5 linked regions of the Coturnix japonica genome follow. The protein of the gene in region 4 purifies or fractionates together with the protein of the main gene of each other region. This does not show direct contact. Links are inferred from orthologs where the notes say so. Each region holds a gene or a part of one and is shown on either strand. Other genes may lie near its edges.

Evidence for each region.
Region 1: the proteins of SLMAP (region 4) and STK26 purify together in Homo sapiens (affinity purification with mass spectrometry; 5 studies listed by BioGRID and IntAct, with this or other methods). This does not show direct contact. The link is inferred for Coturnix japonica from reciprocal best matches to the Homo sapiens genes SLMAP and STK26.
Region 2: the proteins of SLMAP (region 4) and STRN purify together in Homo sapiens (affinity purification with mass spectrometry; 5 studies listed by BioGRID and IntAct, with this or other methods). This does not show direct contact. The link is inferred for Coturnix japonica from reciprocal best matches to the Homo sapiens genes SLMAP and STRN.
Region 3: the proteins of SLMAP (region 4) and STRN3 purify together in Homo sapiens (affinity purification with mass spectrometry; 5 studies listed by BioGRID and IntAct, with this or other methods). This does not show direct contact. The link is inferred for Coturnix japonica from reciprocal best matches to the Homo sapiens genes SLMAP and STRN3.
Region 5: the proteins of SLMAP (region 4) and STK4 purify together in Homo sapiens (co-immunoprecipitation; 3 studies listed by BioGRID and IntAct, with this or other methods). This does not show direct contact. The link is inferred for Coturnix japonica from reciprocal best matches to the Homo sapiens genes SLMAP and STK4.

The regions. Positions count from the first base shown.
Region 1 is NC_029519.1:3,354,149-3,357,664, forward strand, and holds part of STK26 (serine/threonine-protein kinase 26), read left to right. Parts: intron 1-1,029; coding exon 1,030-1,260; intron 1,261-3,516. UniProt on the Homo sapiens protein: Serine/threonine-protein kinase that acts as a mediator of cell growth. Modulates apoptosis. In association with STK24 negatively regulates Golgi reorientation in polarized cell migration upon RHO activation.
Region 2 is NC_029518.1:28,874,079-28,877,594, reverse strand, and holds part of STRN (striatin), read right to left. Parts: intron 1,792-3,516; coding exon 1,656-1,791; intron 312-1,655; coding exon 176-311; intron 1-175. UniProt on the Homo sapiens protein: Calmodulin-binding scaffolding protein which is the center of the striatin-interacting phosphatase and kinase (STRIPAK) complexes.
Region 3 is NC_029520.1:30,872,849-30,876,364, reverse strand, and holds part of STRN3 (striatin-3), read right to left. Parts: intron 3,304-3,516; coding exon 3,230-3,303; intron 2,667-3,229; coding exon 2,585-2,666; intron 2,283-2,584; coding exon 2,103-2,282; intron 1,678-2,102; coding exon 1,545-1,677; intron 948-1,544; coding exon 806-947; intron 1-805. UniProt on the Homo sapiens protein: Calmodulin-binding scaffolding protein which is the center of the striatin-interacting phosphatase and kinase (STRIPAK) complexes.
Region 4 is NC_029527.1:6,442,464-6,446,772, reverse strand, and holds the start of SLMAP (sarcolemmal membrane-associated protein), read right to left. Parts: upstream 2,805-4,309; 5' UTR 2,782-2,804; coding exon 2,584-2,781; intron 1-2,583. UniProt on the Homo sapiens protein: Associates with the striatin-interacting phosphatase and kinase (STRIPAK) core complex, forming the extended (SIKE1:SLMAP)STRIPAK complex.
Region 5 is NC_029535.1:4,579,248-4,582,763, reverse strand, and holds part of STK4 (serine/threonine-protein kinase 4), read left to right. Parts: intron 1-683; coding exon 684-798; intron 799-1,334; coding exon 1,335-1,499; intron 1,500-1,863; coding exon 1,864-2,031; intron 2,032-2,570; coding exon 2,571-2,708; intron 2,709-3,171; coding exon 3,172-3,300; intron 3,301-3,516. UniProt on the Homo sapiens protein: Stress-activated, pro-apoptotic kinase which, following caspase-cleavage, enters the nucleus and induces chromatin condensation followed by internucleosomal DNA fragmentation.

The sequences.
Region 1 (3,516 bases), on a different chromosome or scaffold from region 4:
TGTAAAGATGTTTTGTTTCCCGTTGGTACTAGAGTTGTGTGTTGTGCAGGGTAATCCATGCAGCAGATGCACAATGGCTGCCTTTGCCAAAGCTGTCACTTCTGTCAGGGCAGTTCACTTGATCTGCTGGGTAAGCATGACGTGTAGGGATACAGGAGAGACATCAGAATCAGAGGGCCTTTGGGTTTTCTTGTTCGCGGCAAGTTAGCAGCAGCAAAGTTGCTGCAAGTGTTAGAGGTCCTCTTCTCTCTTCCCTCTGATTCCTTGAATGGAGCTGGGAAGCGTTAAGACCTTTGTATGATGTCAGTGCTGATCATAGAGCAGTTAACCTTCCAAGGAAACCAGATGTCCTCATGAGTGCTGTACTGTCTGGTGCTGTGTTCCTCATCCAAGGCGTGTTTGGGTGATATCAGCTCGTTCTGACCAGTGCTTCAAGTTTAATTTCTGCATCTGTACTCCTTTGAATGTCTCTCAGTGCCTTTTGTTGCCTTACATCTTAGCAGATCTCAAAAGCTCAGTGTGCTTGGGTGGAGGATGCTGCTAATGGGCTCCGGGTGCTGTAGTCCTCTTGCAGCTACCTCTGTGTTTTATTACTTGAAGTGGAGCTTTGTCTGCCCAAGGCTGTTGACCTCATAGGTGAGCCCAGCCTTATTCACATGGGGAATGATGTTAGCACTTCTGTGCCAGTAATTGCATTCTGTAGACTTCTGAATTACCACACAGACAGGATCAGTATTAAGAACAGCTCTATTCTTTCCTTTAAAAGCATTATGTGGGAAATGAGATTTGTACCTGTTGCTTTCGATGGTGAAATTCACTTACCTTTGACATAATTGTATAATATACATTTTGTAACTAATAGCTGAATTAGAAGTGAGTGTATAGGAAATAAATTCATCTGATACGAGCACTCTAATAATGATAAATCTGGGTGATGTGTTTCATGGGCATTAATGAGGGCTAATAACTTGGAAGTAAATGAAGATAGCTCATCTTTTATTTATTTATTTATTTTAACTTTTTCTCTAGAACCATAGAGCAGACCCAGAAGAATTATTCACAAAACTGGAACGCATTGGGAAAGGCTCCTTTGGTGAAGTCTTTAAAGGAATTGATAATCGGACGCAGCAAGTGGTTGCTATAAAAATCATAGACCTCGAGGAAGCAGAAGATGAAATAGAAGATATACAGCAAGAGATAACTGTTTTAAGTCAGTGTGATAGTCCTTATGTAACGAAATACTATGGATCATATTTAAAGGTAATGTATCTTACTGCACAAACATTTACTAGCAATGTGTCAGCCCATTTTGAATGATGCACAGGGAAGTTCCTATAACTGAGAAAGTGTTATCACATCAACTTGACTTTCTGTTTTTCCCTTTGAATGGAGTTGCCTTTGTTCTGCATCTTTTGCTGCATGTTCCTTAAAGCTCAGATCTTCACAAAATGGCTACAAAAGGAGCGGAGTTGACAGAAGATTCCTATTGCTATTGAGCTTATAAAATTACATGGAGGAAGAGGTTTTCTCTTCTTTCTTCCCTCACAACTTCCAGTGAAATTTTGAGCCTTTTTGGAGGGGGAAAAATATGTTTTCATAGCTAGACTAACAAAAAAGAGAAACCCTCCTTTGATATGGAAGGAAACGCTGCACCGTGTGGAGATGTTTGTAGTTGTGTGTTATAGTAGGCCTGAAACAAAGTAGAACTGACAACAGTACAAAGTGGTTATGTAACTCTCGTGTTATCTAAGGCTTAAATTAAGAAACAAGCTTTAAAAAAAGGAAACATCAACACACACAACAATGCTCAGCCCTACAGAGATAAAAATTGGAAGTATATGAATGTATAGCACTGACAGAATAGTTGGATGTAACTTCCAGCTCCTGGTCTGGGTTTTCTGCTCTTTAAAAATTCCTGGCAAGCGCAGGAGTGTGTTAATTCTGCATTACTTTCCTTGTTTGGGTTCTTTCCATTTTTTAATGCATTCTGAAAGATTAATGCTGGTCCCCTGGTTTTTCTTGTCTACTATTTTGGGGGAAACATTTTTGGGTGATGTTTGTAGAGTTGTTTGTGAAATTTTGTTTATTTTCCCTTAAGAAACTTCCCTTAAAAAAATAAATCACAGGATTGTTTTTAATCCCATACTAGCATGGCAGTTAATTTTATTGCTTGCTCTTCCCTGCCTTAGACTAGATTCATCCTTGTTTGCTAGTACTGGTTCTTTCAGCTTGAGATTTCTCAGGTGGGAGAGTGTATTGGCTTTGGTAGAAGTGTCCAAATAATCTTTTATGCTGACTCTAATTTTGGTACTGACAAGCATTTCGAGAGTACTATCTGTCTATTCTTAAAAGTAAAAACTAAGGTTGCTGTAGCTTCTAACTTTCTATTAGCTGTAGTTCTGAGGATGGCTGTCAGCCTTAGTATGAAGCTGTTCAGTATTTTGTTCTGCATATTCTGTAGACTTCTTCTGGAAATGAAGTATGTACAGTTTTGTACAAAATGACTTAATAATTAAAGGTTAAAGAATGTTGAGGCTAGATCCTGAAACTTAAGGTCTGTTATTTCATAGAAAGCAGAGTCTTAGGCTGCTGAGTGCAATAGCAGTTCTTAGTGGATATGACTGGCACCAAGATTACATCAGGAGTGATCAAATAGGCTTGTTGGTTTTATACATAAAGATTATTGAAAATAGCTCCTAGAAATACTTTTCAAAGGTAGTGGCAAAAAGAGCATAAGTGTATTTCAGTATTTAAGAAGTAACCAACTTTATTGAACTTCAAATAAGCAGATGGTTACTGCCATCAAGTACCAGTCAGCTTCAGCTCTTCTCCTTTGTAAGAAAACACATTTGATAATTGAATGTTATGATGAAAACTTTAAACAACGTATGTTAACTGCAAGGATTCTGTAACTGTTCAGCCTTTCAGATGAGGTTGTTTTTCCCTCTGTATACAATTTATTTTAAATATTCTGGAGCTTTACATGGTTCTTAGTTTCTTGCATGTCAGGATGCAGAGCCAGTGTTGTTACTAACAGGAATGGAGCGGCCCAGTCCCAGTGGCCCTGTGACTTACCAGCAGCACTCAGGATCTTCCCAGTGATCCTCCTGCTAAGCAGAAACTGAACAGGAGGAGGAAAGAGTGTCTTTATCTCAATTACTTGACTTACTAATTTGTAACCTAGTCAGCTCAACTGATGCCATATGAGATACTCTTATATTCTGCAGCCTAGCTGCTCTTTAGCTACAGCTTGCATCTTTGACTTGTAAATGTGATTTTAAGAAATACAGACAGCCCCTAAGCATTTTTACTTAACAATGTAGTGTTATTTGTCTGTTAGTAGATATTTTAAAAACGTTATTGAGATAAGTTAGGGTCATCTTCCTTACCACTGAGATAAGACTGGTGCTAATTTTCCATTATCGTGACACAAAAAGGTGCAAAATTCCCAAATCACAAAGACATGGGGTACCTTTGTATCTTGAACTTTGGAGCTCAAATGGGAATTTACTGTTG
Region 2 (3,516 bases), on a different chromosome or scaffold from region 4:
AGTATAAACAAAAATGAGAAAATCATGTCACAAGAATCTCAATCTGGCAATGAAGGAATTTACTATATGAACATTCAAAAGGCATTCCTATTACGACAGAGACCACAATCAACAAATTACCACATACTCTTAGTGCATTTTCTTTCACCTGATACATTCCATTACATTTCCTTACCCCAGTCTGTTCCATCTCCTGAACTTCTTGATTCCCCATCACCTTCATCTGATGTAACCAAAAAGTCAAATTCTTTCAGAGCTTCTTCTGTATCTCTGTCTTCACTACTGTCAGACAGCACTCTTTTCCTTACAATCTGAAATATGAGGAAGGAAAGAAAAAACTGAATTAGACGGCATGATGTTTATATCTGTCAGTACTGCCTTCTATACAAAATTCTAACAGGAAATTTAAGAAGCAGGAAGAAATTGATAAACCTAAAATTAACATAAAGGTTTCCTTCAAATTTCAAAGTAAAAATGAAAATCACCTGTATAATTACTTCCTGTAACTATCAATATTCAATCACTTGATAATGAATCTACAATGATGTATATGATTATCAGTCTTTTAAATGCCAGAAAAGTACAAACTTTCTTTTGATAGAGATAAAAAAAAAAGAAAAAGAAAAAGAAAAACTACCTAAATACACAAAGAACAAAATACCCCAACACAATGCCATAGGAAGAACTTCAGCAAAGCCAAATTGGTTCTTCTATCCTGAAAATAACCCAGCTCACCTCTGAAATCGCTCTAAAAAACTAGAAGATTAGCCTAGAAAAATACCTAAGGAAAGCACTAATTTGCATAGGTTTGGCAAAAATCATTTCATTTTAACATGTCCGCAGACATTAGTTATTTATACACAATACTTCATGTTTAAACTGCATTTTTGACTTGGAACCTCAACACTGTTTCAGACATTAGTTCACAGCCCACCAACTACAAGATCCTCTTTGAAAAAACCTTTACAACTCTAAGAGTTCATTCTTACAGTTGATCATAAAAATGATCGCATCCATGTTAAGTTATATCTTTTTCAACTTTTTGGAAGCACAGTTCAATTAATAAGTATTCATTCCAAAAAGAAAAGGATAAAATTGAGTATAATTTGCATGTATGTACTTAATATGATCATTTGACCAAATCACGTTGCAAAGTACACATCATGAGGAATGGAGTCAGGCATTGACTGAATACACAAACAAACAAGTTTATAAACCACATTTTAAAAAATTTCCAGTTACACTTTTTCTTTCTTCAACAACTCACTTAAATCAAAGGTGGTATTTCAGTCCTGAACCCTACAAGCAGAAAATTCTACAAGTCACTTTAAATATAAAACGCACTGAAAAAATTTAGAAAATAATAATAAAGATATCTGGTACTTTAAAAACTGCATTGAACATATATCAAAACTACTAGTTGGTATAAAGTAGAAGTCCAAAGTATGTCACTGCAAACTTCCAGCAAGACAGATAGCAAAGCTCAACTTGTATGCATGAACTGCTCCTGTGCACACATGCTTGGACAGACCATCATAAAGATGCATTAATGATTTGCACGTGTACATACACAGTCATATACTTTGCATATAGGCATCTCATTAATCTCACTTTTTCTGTTCTTCGTAACTTTTTCAATTATTTTTTCCACTCACTGTTGCGCTATCAATGATTGTTTTCTCTCTTCCTTCAATATCTTCCTCATCTTCTTCATCACTAAAGTCTGCAGCTGCATTTTCGAGGAACTTGAAGGTCTCTAGCAGAGAGGCAGAGTCAGTCAATTCTGGCTTCCTAAACAACAACAACAACCACTATGAGTCAAAAGAAACCATTACAACATCACTTTTGCATTTACCAGTCTGTTCTATTTTATGGCGTCTAACAACACACGAAATTAAAATAAGCCTACAGGTAAAAATGGACTATTTACAGATAAAAACGTTTGTTGGTTAAAAATCTAAATGTTATCCATAAATTCATCTTATGACAACCAACTGTTATTCTTTATCCAGCTGCAATTACCAGGACAGGCACATTATAGTTTTTTGTTGTTGCTGTTTTCATTTTTAATTTTAGAAGTATTTGTAAGCACTCTCCAGCTGTTACATACCACAAAGTTTTATCAATACTGATATATCAACACAGTAAGTTGTAGGAACCAGGGTATAAGTTGCAGCTACACTAAGCTGGCCTGTGTACCCCAGGGTACAGGAAATCTTTGCTGCTGCTAACCGACATTCTCCATCTTGTGGGAAAAAAAACTCTACATCTATCATCCATTAACTTTTGTAATATGCTAAGTTGGCCATTATAAAACAATATAATGAAAAAACATCCTTGACAACTAAGTGACTCTTACTTAGATGTTAACACTAAATAAACAGAGAGAATGAAAACTGGGTAAAATTATGACCAACAACACTGGCACAAACTCAGTGAGTGTCTCCAGAACAGGAACTAAGAGTTGTCATATTAACAGCTAAACAGAAAGAACTCAAAAAAACAGAACTGTAACCACTAAATAAAATTGTAATGAATGTAAAATTAAAGCAATTCCAAAATTACTAAGAGGTATGTTTTTATGCAGAAGATGAATTCTATATCAGAGATAAAGTTGCGGAAAAAAACAAACCAACATTCAGTGTGAACTGTAGTAAAACCCTTTAAAGTACTTCTGTGACTTTAAAACTACAAAGAAGACAGACTTTACTACTGTTTTCTTACCTTTAACAAGCAGTTGGTGTTGCATAGTTCATCACTACATGTACGTCATCTTGATTTTCACAACCACTGAAACCATAGAAGTCTCTCCCTCTTATTTAAGAATTATAGTTCTAAATTGTCTTGTACACTCATCCTTTCTGACAGCAAGTGCCTTACTAATGCTGTATTTTGCTTCTTCTATGACCCATTTGAAAAGGTTCAATCAACTGACAATGCTATACAGTAAGGCCTTGTAAACACCCTGTAGTGTAAACACCTGATTATCTGTCCATCAGCCTTTTATTCCAGAGTTTCTTCGTAACACTTTGCCAAGGCTTATTACAGGAAACAATCAAGGTCAAAAGCTCGGATGTGTAATATGGCGTGATAAACAAAACAATTCCTCCTTTATGCTGCCTCCACTCAATTATTTCTAGGCATACATGATAATCATTAGCAGAAGTAGTTTCTGTATAGCTCCAGTATCTGCATCTTTATAAGACAATTTAATCTCTTTACCCATCTGCACTGACTGAAAATACCTTTAACAAATTCACTTGCCACTATAAATTCCACACACAAAGCAGTATAATATACAGTGATGTACTGCTGTGCATTTTCACAGTCTGTAGTTTTACTAAGCTTATTAATTCTTCTGTCCTTTATCTTACATGAGAGCAGCCTCCAACATGCTTCCAATTTGCCTTGCTTCTTGTAGTATTTTGTCACTGTAATACTGTTCTTTTTCCTTAAGTAATGAATGCACTGGCAGACTATAATGTTTCAATCTGTATAATCTATAATACCTAACTT
Region 3 (3,516 bases), on a different chromosome or scaffold from region 4:
AAAACAGAGCTACATCATGAAAGAAAAGAAGTGCTATGTATGTCTTCCTATACATCATACTGGTAAGACTGATTCAGAAACCAGAATTCTTTGCACTCAATATTTGAAAGGAAAGTGCAAATTCAAAATCAGAACCTTGGCTTCAGGGCCTAAGAGAATTCTCATACTGACAGACCTGCCTGCTTGGCTAAATAAAAAGACCAATACACTAGTCAAATGACATAGTCTTTAAAGGCAACTAAAATGCTTCTAAATCCCAGTAAATACTACCAAAAGTATGTAGTATTATGTATGTAGTACAACTTGCATGCCTTCACCTTCCAACTAGAAACAAAGATGAGCTTGGAAAAAAATTTAAAAGAAAGGGTTATTGACTTTTTGATGCTATTTCCAAGCAACAAACACTTTCTAATCCTTGGTACCTTCAAAATTAATTTTTACAAGGGCACCAAAGAAATTAATTTAAGCTGAACGCAAGTCTAAAGCTCCCTATCACAAAAACAGAACACAAATCAAAATTCAAAAGCCAATTTAATTCAAATACAAAAACATTCAGAATCCTGGTCTTATTCAAGCAATATATTCCTTTAATTGGATTTTTCTGGAATCAAAAGCAAAACATTTGGAAGTATAATTATATTTCTGTCAACTAAAATAACATAAAATATGGAAGCTTCAACATTCAATACATTTATAGCTAATAACCAGCATCACAACCATCCGCACACCCATGCAACTTGTGAAGGTACTGTACTGTCATGAACAAGTATTACTTCATTTCTAAATTGTTTTGTTAGCATCTTACCCCACTCTGTTCCATCTCCAGAACTTCGGGCTTCTCCAGCTCCCTCACCATCTTCAGCTGTCACTAAAAAATCAAATTCTTTCAAGGCTTCTTCAGTATCGGGATCATCAGTAAGGTCAGCAGCTAAACCTTCATTACCAATCTGCAATCAAATGAAGAACATTTCTGCATTTTAACCACCAACCTTTATCTACTCAAATGTTTAATTATAAATGATAGCGATTATGCTCATTGAAGACTTTGCTTTATTTTCAACATGAAACACATTCAAATCCACACAGAACTAGAGTTGTTTACAACAACTACAGAAGAAAAGAGAGCAGCACAGTAAAGTAATCATTAGAAAAGAATACTGACATGAGGTTTAGCAACAACTTGTACTAGATGTACAAGTTATTAACTACAGGTACAGTGCAAAAACCTTCCTAACAAGTCAAACTGGGACATTCAAACTTACACTAAGCTGAGATAATGTTGAATGACAGCTGAGTTACTTATGAAAATTCAAGGCAGCCGTAGGCACTTCCACACTACAGAATACTACAGAAAATTGGCGGTATAACTGCCCTAAATCAACCTCCTTGTGTGAAAAAAAAAAAAATCACAGTGAAAGAATTTTCTAGCATGGAATAAGAGAAAGGACATAATTTTAACTATCTAGGGAAAAAAGGGAAAGATATTTCCCTTTTAAGATAAGAGTTTGTGCATGCAAAACAATATCTTAAAATTGTTTTTTTACTTTGTGTTTCTTATTTATCCGGTGCTTCTCTTTTCCTTCTGCAATATCTTCTATCATGTCACTCTCCTCTTCTTCATCACTATCATCCGCATTTTCTAAGAAGTTAAATGTTTCAAGAACATCACCAGAGTTCCTACAAAAACAAAAAAATTAACAAGGAGAGAGTTTTACTTGCTCATGAGATTTTTGGGAGATTCATTAACATTAACACAATGGCTGTCTGACTCAACAGCTCAACAATTTTAAAAACTAGCAAAAACCAAGAAATGACTGTATGAAGTTTCTACAGCAGTCTAATTCTTCAAGTTACATCACTCAGCTGTAACTTTCCTTAAAATGTTAATTCCAAAGCTGCACTGAATCTGAATACATGTCATACAACCCTATCTTTCCCATGCAAGGCATACAATCAGTTTCAATGAAGTTCATAATCATTTGTAGTTAGCTACGCTCACAGTTCAGAGAATTGAGAGTCTGAAGTTCTTCGCGAACTTTGGTACATTAAAATGACTACATAGACAAACTTAAACTACACGCATTTCTCACCTCCTCACTTACCTTTTGATTTCCTGTCCCTTTTGTTTTGATGAAGGAGATTCGCCCCCATTGAGGATCTGCTCTAAATTCTTTGTCTCTACTGAACCATTTGGTTCTGAATTGGAGAGCCCAAGCAAAGACCTTACCCGCTGGGAGCGTACATCCAATATCGTATCTGTATAACCTACTTCCTGAAGATACCTAATATATATTAAAAGGAGAAAGAAGAAAGCACAGTTGATGGAAAAAGGAAATAAATCTGAACTGACACTTAGAAATTAATACTACTATAATATATTTTACAAAAGATAAGCTTTATCTCTGTCCATCTCACACAAAAAAGCTCCACGTACACTGTTTAAAGATCAAAACTACAAACTCCTGCATCATGGTCCACCGTGCGACCACCTCAACTACTCCAAATCAAAAAGTATGCACATACACAGCTCCTGAGACCTCAGGAAAAAGCATGAATACACCAACATTCCAACAATGCTACTTACTGTCTTAGTAACTGCCTGCCTTGCTTCCAGGTGAGTTGGCTATTTTGAGGTACTGCAGGAACCTCCGTATCTTTGGTTTCTTCTGAAAGACAGCACCATTTGCAGTTACTGGTTTTCAGAAGGTTTTTTTTGTGGTTTTGTTTAATTTTTAAAATTGACTTTTCACAATGCAACAATGAAATGAAAAGCAATTATTTACAAAAAGCAATCTTTAAGTTACTTGCAGTCTTATGCAGTAGTTTCTTTTAATTAAAGAAGGTTGTTTTTTTTCTTGTGGTAGCACCAAACAACAGTAAATCTGATACATATTGTACACTTAAACTTCCCTTCTAGATGGATGTCAAACTGACACGAAATGCTAAATCTTTTATAACAGCAATTTAAAAAGCAGTAAGAGAAGCAGCAGCTTAATAAGGAATTGTGCAACTATTCCAAACTTTCACTGATACTCACAGTTGTTTCAGAAGAGAAAGGTCAATTCATTATGATTTCGAATCAAAAATATTTACCTAATATCAAACTTTTCCTGGATTTTTTTTCCTCTATAATGTAATTGAGGGGGGAAGGAGAAAGTTACACTAAATTGAGCAAATCTAGAACAGGACAAAGAAATTGTTCTAGAACAGGTACTATCATAGAAGTTACCTGATTCAAAAGTTGGCATTTTCAAGTCACCTTGGTTCAATTCTGTGCCATACTTCAATTTATGATATTTTGCCCTGGAAAAAAAATGTGCAAAGATTTAACAAAAGCATCCTGTACTAATTTATCAGCTCAAATATTTTCCTACTCCTGTTTAAAACAACCATGTTAACATAACACCCCTTATCCAAATAAAATTTACAGTAATTACAGTATCATGCAATTAGTTCTAGTTTGTCAAGAACACAAGTTTGAGAAAGACAATTATAATAATCAAATGACACAAAAGT
Region 4 (4,309 bases):
GCTTTTTGCACATATGGACTGCCCTTATACTAAGTTTCGAGGTTGTCTCTGCCTCAAAAAGTTTGTTTACTGACCAGCTGTCTTGCCCATACTTTACTAATGCTCCCTCTCCCCACTTTCCACCCTTCCCTACAGATTACGCTGATACAGTTATTTGCAGACTATGTAGCACACACAGGACCATTCACATGATTCACTACAACAAAACAAACACAACTCCAAACCCTCAAGGAAAAAAACCAGCAGCACAGCAGAAAGGCGGCTGGAGAGGCAGCAGAGAGCACAGGCTGGGAATGCAGGATCTGCCATTGCCATCGAAGCACACAGCTTAGCAGCGCCTGGCCCCAGATGATTCATGAACTATTTTTACATTTCTCAAGGATTTCTCTTTGTTATTAAGTTAACATTTCACGGTCTTATCTCTCAGAAAAGCAATATTGGTAAGAGTCTTATTGATAAGCTTCTAAGAAATGTTTACAACCGCTACGGCAAAAACAACTTGGGCAGACCTATATATACATCCCGGATAGGATAATGATACGTTCCTACATGAGATACACGTATGAGAAGATCTGTAAACAATGGCAATGAACATTCCCGCATGCAAATATTCCAGCATAATTTAGGTTTTTGTTTATTCATTTAACACACCACAGCGTTTTAAGCAGCTTTTGTGATTCCAGATTAAGATTGTATTTACCACCACCCACCTTTTCCCAGCAGCACTTCATATTCTCTCCTTCACTGCATTTCCCCCCCTCCTCCAACTCCGTCTTCCCTAAATGTACCACTGTTGTCATGAAGCAAACAGAATCCAAAGCTCTGTGTTCTGCTTTATCAATTCTTTCTGCCTTTTGCAATGCTCCAACATGTAAAACGTACAGTGATACATTCCTGTGCATCATCTGAAACCCCACTCTTTATTTAGTTATCACTATGGCTACTGATCCAGATTCTCATTTGCGCAATTTTCATCAAGATTCCCCCCATCAACTTCTCACATGATGGTATTTCAAGAGCTATCACATGTTACCATCTTATTTACTACTACCAAGTTGCTATTTTAGATCAGCTAAAGATAAAAGGAATAAGCGTATCATTTTTTGACACGTGTTAGAGGAGCTAATGCTAACTAAATATTTAAGAACAGTACTAAACAACAACTGGGTCCCTCTTCACCTCTTCTCTGAGTTAGCAGAGTTGCTCAACATTCAGTGTTTTCTCTAATTAAACCACCTGTAATACGCCTAGAGTATTTATAGCCATCACAGGGCACATAAGGGTCTTAAAATGCTTATTAAGAATGAAAATGTTGATTAAAAAAACCATATGTACAATACCTTTACAATTCAAATCAGTACAATAAAGTAAAACCTTTCCCTTTGTGTCAAAAAACAGTTAAAAACTGAGCTTAAACTAAAATTAGCCATATTTCATGCACTTAAGATCTTAAGAGTGTCCAAGAATGTATATCACAAACATTATAGATCCAAAACAGTATTTTTAATGAATCACAGATAGCAGTTCACACAATTACAAGTAACTTGAAAGCCATGCCATAACCCAGCCTCACGAAATTAAACGCTTGTCTTGTCCCATCATGCCCAGGTGTTGCATAACAGGGGATAGCTAACAATGGAAGGTTTAAGAACTTTGTTCTACTGCCCTTCATGCTGTGTCACACTAGTAAAAAACACAGCATTCATTACTGACTTTATTATTCCTGAAATCAAGAGCTACACTGACCGCATTTCTCAGAAGAGCGTGCAGGGAAGCTTAAAGAGAAAAAGAAAAAGGAGCTAATTTGTACCAGGTGGAGTTTCAGGGTGGAACATCAACACATGAGGAAGAAAATAACAGCACAGAGCAACTGAAATCTGCACTTCGTTCCCTTCTTGTTGAAATTTAAGTTCACAGCCATTGAGTGAAATGGCTTTACTTGTCCCAGTTCAAACCCTAGCGGACAAAACATGCACTACAGAACCTGTGTATTTCACATAACACCACAGCTACTGCCTTTCTGAGGGAAACAGCAGCAGGTTAATACATCTCCGGATGGATTTTAATACCATTTTCACTAGCAATGAGAAAATACCTTGTATGCCATCTGCTACACCCCCACTACCCACCGGGTCCAAACAAAACACGCTATATATGATTTCAAAAATGTAGGAAGAGCAGCACACAAACCCAGCACGCTTTTAAATCTGCTTTCTGCCAGCTGCTCAAAATGGGATTTATTTACACGCTCAGTTAATCAGTTCTTAGTATTTGGAAAAAAAAATAAACGTATTATTCACACAAGTCTGAGCCATATCTGTAATTATTACTCACCTCAAAATCACGCACTCCAGCACGCACATTTTTCAGCACTGTTAGCTTTAAGTACTTTTAAGAACTGACAAAGTTTCAGCTTGGTAAGAAATTATCAGTTTACCAGAGAATTAATCACTAACTATAACACAATCCTTCCACACACAGCCACGTTTATTACGGTGAAACAAAAGTGATCTGCAATATTTGGGGACTCGCTCAAATAAATAAGGTTTGCTATTTTTAAATCAAGCAAGCAAAACATCTTACCTTGCCTGTCTTGTGATCAAACCAGACAAGTGCGTGGTTCCTGGACAGCACCTTACAGTCAAAAGTCGCATTATTCTGAGCTGGCCTGCAGCGAGCCACTGAGCGGCCGATCTTGACGGGCTCATCCAGGTAGACATGACGCTCCTGAAACGGATGGGAGTTGGGGCGGCAGGTGAAGATGGCCAAGGCTGAAGGCATCGAGGACAGATTGGGGTTGCCACACCAACCAGAGACGAAGACAACCTCTTCTGATGCAGATGCAGACCGTCCTCCACGATTTTTATGCCAAACTTCCACAGCAAGTTTACATTAAAGCACGACAAACATTATCGCATACGAGAGGCCTAACAACTCATGGTTTCAGTGTGTAAACTAATTCTGGCAATAATCCAGTGAAAAAGCCCCATTATGTCTCTTAACAACATCAGCAGTGGCCCAGAAAATGTCTAAAACGTACCACTTTCAATCCATCCTCCTCTGGAAGAACAGGAACAAGCATCTGATTTCTTCAGAGAGAAGGAAAGGCTCCTTGAGAGAAGGAGAGAACGTCTTAAATCCAAGTGGATGAGTCATACAAATACTTTTGTTTGGGACCTCGACCGCCTCCTTTTTTTTCCCCCTTCCGTAAACAACACTGACCACCGCACCATGGAAGCAAAGAGAGGTTTAGGGAAGGGGGAAAAGGACCCGAGTCCTCCCTCAGAGCTCACGGAGCAGAAAGGCGGTCGCAGAGCCCGCACTCCGCAGCGGGGATCGGGTCGTGTCACAGGGCGGTCCGCATCTCCTCATCATCGTCCATTAAAGCAGACAGGCGCTCCTCGGGCCGGGCTACCAGAGCGACGCCGAACCCCAGATAAAGCCGAAGCGCTCTACAGCCCCGCGAAGCCGCTGGGCCGAGGAGCTCGGTGCGGCATGGAACGGGCTCGCGGCTCCGCTCTCAGTTCCAGGCCGGCGGGCAGCTCGCTGGGCCCCAGGCGCTCTGACAGCTCGCTGCGGCTCCGGGTCGCTGCCGGCGGGGGGCGGCTCCAGGAAGTCCCTCCGAAGCCCCCACACCGCTCCGGTAGAGGGGGCGGCCCACGGCTCCGCTCAGCCCCGCCGCAGGTGGCCGCTCATGGGGGGCCGCCCCGCGCCTTCTCCGCACGCCGAGCGCGTCTCCTTCGGGCCCGGCGCTGTGAGGGCCCGGCGCTGTGAGGGCCTGGCGGCGGGGCCCGCTCGGTAGCTCTGCCTCTCAGGCGGCCGCCGACCGCGAAAACTTTCCTCCGACCTGCGGAGCCGAAAACAAACCGGGTCAGATTCGTTCCCCGCCCGGCGCGGCCCCGCGCCTCCCCCCGGCCCAGCGGCGCCCGACCCCGAGGGAGCAGCGGGGGCGCGGCGGAGCCCCGCTCCCTCCCTTACCTTCAGCGCAGCCGCCGCCATAGTGACTGGAAACCTACCCGGTGTAACAGCCGCGGCGCTGCCGGGGAGGGGCGGGGGTCGGAGGGCGGAGCCGTGCTCGGCGGGGCCCCGACCATAGGGAACGAGCGGCGGCCGCCCCCGGCTGTGGAGCTGGAGACTGCGCAGGAGTGGATCGGCCTCCGGCTCATGCGCGGTGCTGCCCGTGAAGCTGCGGCACAGGAGGAGCAACGCCCTGAGCCGGGTGACGGGCTGAGGGAGCCGGCGGGAGCCTCAGAGCGGGACGGGAGGGAGGGAGAGGCGGCTGGGGCCGGCAGCAGGTGGGAGCTGGGAG
Region 5 (3,516 bases), on a different chromosome or scaffold from region 4:
TGCTTCTGTTCTTTAGCATTGTCCTTGCTAAACCATACAGTTCTCTCTGTTAGCTTTTTTGCTTTACCTTTTCCAAAGGATAAGTGGTCATTCTGACTGTGCCATACTTCGTTGTTCACCCCTTGGGCAGCCCATTAGTTGACTATATGGGAAAGATGTAGGTTGTACTTAACATAAGTTGCATTTCTGAACTGATTAATAGAGTAAGAAGGTGAAGGTTCCTCATAATGACCACAGTAGCAGTTTTCCAGCTTTTGACCTTATTTAATCTTTCTCTTTGGTTTCAGACACTGCAGCAGCTTTACCAGGATCTGCCATGGTCTGTTTCTCATTCCATTGATGCCCTCCCTACTTGTTTGCCACAGTTCAGGGAGCAAAACCAGACTGAAAGCTAATTGCTCCTTTTCCGTTTCTGCAGGATTTACTTTCAGACGTTTTAGCCCCCTGAGCTGCCTTTGTGACAGGTCACAAGGACACCACTGCTAGGACAGGCCTGGAGGGCTGTGGTCACTCACTGTAGACTCAGGCTGGTGTGAAACACTTGGTCAGGGCTTCAGTGGCACTTCCATGCCTGAGTTTTTAGAACCTGCTTAGGGAGGCTGCAGTATTCTTTGCCTTTGCTTATTCAGTTGTGCTGCTCTCCAGTATTTGACCCTTTGTTCTTCTTTTTTCACGTTTCATAGCCCTCATGTGGTGAAATATTACGGCAGCTACTTTAAGAACACAGACCTGTGGATCGTCATGGAATACTGCGGCGCTGGATCCGTGTCTGATATTATTCGGTTACGAAATAAAACTGTACGTAGTCTCCTCTGAATGCTGGGAATGGGGAGCAGGAGTGGTAGCTCAGGAAACTAAGTGGCATGTGCAGTGCTTTGGGTATAATTCTCATAGGTGTTTAACATCTAAAACAATCATGGGCCACCACTGCAATGTGGGTCCTTTGTTCCCCTGAAGATATGGAGGCTCGTTATGTTGATCAAGTTTGGGTTGTTTGGTTAATGCAATCAGTTTGCATGGTTTTGATACGGTGTTTGGTTGGCTTTCCTGAAAACCCAGATGGATTCAGAATTGACAGACTGCTTTGCCTTGCTCTGGCTTTGCAGGGTAAGAATTAGTAGGTGTGAAAGGCTGTGGTGCGGATGTGTAAGGATGCTGATCGAAAGCTAATTCTCATATGTAAGGCTGCTACCTTGGAGTATGTGTACTTCCCTATTAGTATGGCAACCTTTAATGAAAGCAATTAAATAACTATATCTCAGGGAGGTATAAACTGCGACACCACTGTGTGCCATCTCGGAAACCGAGAGGTTGAGAGTAACACTTCTTTTTAGCTTACAGAGGAGGAAATTGCTACGATAGTACAATCAACACTGAAAGGACTGGAATACTTGCATTTTATGAGGAAAATACATAGAGATATCAAAGCTGGAAATATATTGCTAAATACAGAGGGACATGCTAAGCTTGCAGATTTTGGAGTGGCAGGACAACTCACAGTAAGTAAAACCAAGATGATTATGTGCACTTCAGTTCTTCTTTCTAACGTACACATAAGCATCATGTGCTTGTGGAGACCTTGAGACATTCAGAAGTGTTTTTAGCACTTTACATCAACATAATGAGACACTAAAGCAGCAGCAAAGCTTCCTCTGTGGGAGCTGTTAGGCCTAAGTAATGGTTTGTAATAATGTATGCTGTTTGCTTCAGTTCATGTCTGACATCTGCGAGCATATTTCAGTTTCTCTCTGCAGCTTTCCATATCTTTATCTTGCTTAATCTGGTAATATATGTGTGTGCAGGTGGAAGATAATTAGGATTGTAAATGTGTGCTCTGGATCTTTATCCTGCTCTTCTTTTCAGGATACCATGGCAAAGAGGAACACAGTTATAGGAACTCCATTTTGGATGGCTCCAGAAGTGATTCAAGAGATTGGATATAATTGTGTTGCAGACATCTGGTCGCTGGGAATCACTGCAATAGAAATGGCTGAAGGCAAACCACCATATGCAGATATTCATCCTATGAGGGTGAGGGCTGTGACTTTAAAATGCATTGCGATGCAAAAGTGATTTGCTATTACAGCTGGGTGAGTGATGCATCAAGATGCCATCTTGTTTATAATTTAGAGGATATGATTTGCTTTCTGTCAGTTTGTTGTGCTGTTGATTAAATGAAAGATGGAGGAGGAAAATCATGATCCTCATCTATCAAGGCACAGCTGAAACTTCTGCTGTTGAGTGTGAATACAGATACTTTATGCTGTGGATCATACAAAATGATTCTTTATCTTGCAAGCAACCACATATTTTTATGACTTTAAAATGGCAGATTCACACCTCTTGGTGCAGATAATGGCTCAGACAGACGTGTAGGCTTCTAGTGAGAACAGCCTGATTTGTTGTTCCATCCTCTGAGCAGCTTAATGTATAAAATATTGGTACAAACTCTTCAGAAGCAGCAAACTTGAACCATGTATCATTCTTTAGTGCCTGTGGATGTTTTGATTCATTTTTGTTAGGAGGTTTTAAACTCTGTTTGGAAACCTGGAATATTCTTCTCTTTTTAGGCAATCTTCATGATTCCTACCAACCCACCCCCAACGTTTCGGAAACCAGAGCTCTGGTCAGATGCTTTCACGGACTTTGTGAAGCAGTGTCTGGTCAAGAGCCCCGAGCAGCGTGCTACTGCAACACAGCTCCTGCAGGTCTGCCTTGTCTTGGGAGAATGGGAATGTTAGAGAAGGCTTGCTGTAGTGTAGGCAGTGCTGCGCCTATTTGGCTGATGTAAAAACCCTGTACCCAACTTCAACCTTTCAGTTCTTCCTTAAGATCTAGTCTGAATCCTGTCTTTGTGGATGCTTTTGTTTGTTGGTGTTGTTTTTTTTTAACCTTCAGATTCTCACCAGCAATGCCAAGTAACTGGCTCTTAACCCACCAGAAAGGAACTAGATGAACTTTAAGGTCCCCTCCAACCCAAGCTATTCTGTGATTCTAAGTAACTGCTCAGAATGGTGCATGCATTTGTAGTTGGTTGTCGACAATTGAGCTGGTGAGGAATAAGTAGTGCTTGTGTGTGGGGAATGAGCCCCAGTAACCCCATGGTAATGATGTTCTACTGCTCTGTGTTAGTTCAAGTGCAGTGCTTACTAACTTTAACATACCACACAGCATCCATTTGTTAAGAGTGCCAAAGGAGCATCAATCCTGCGCGATTTGATTAACGAAGCGATGGATATAAAACTGAAACGCCAAGAGGCACAGCAGCGTGAACTGGATCAAGAAGATGAAGAAAATTCAGTGAGTATTTAATAGCTACAGTATACAGAGCTCAGCCTCTTGGACCTCGCATAATGCTAAGCTGCTTTGTTCCTTATTTTTATAATGTATTGTTCAGCTGCCCATGGGTTTTATATGATTCTTGAGTTTTGTACTTAGGGCTGCTTAACTTGATGTTTGAGCTCTGCTCAACCTTTATGTTTGAATGGGGCAGTCAGCAAATATGACCTTGTATTT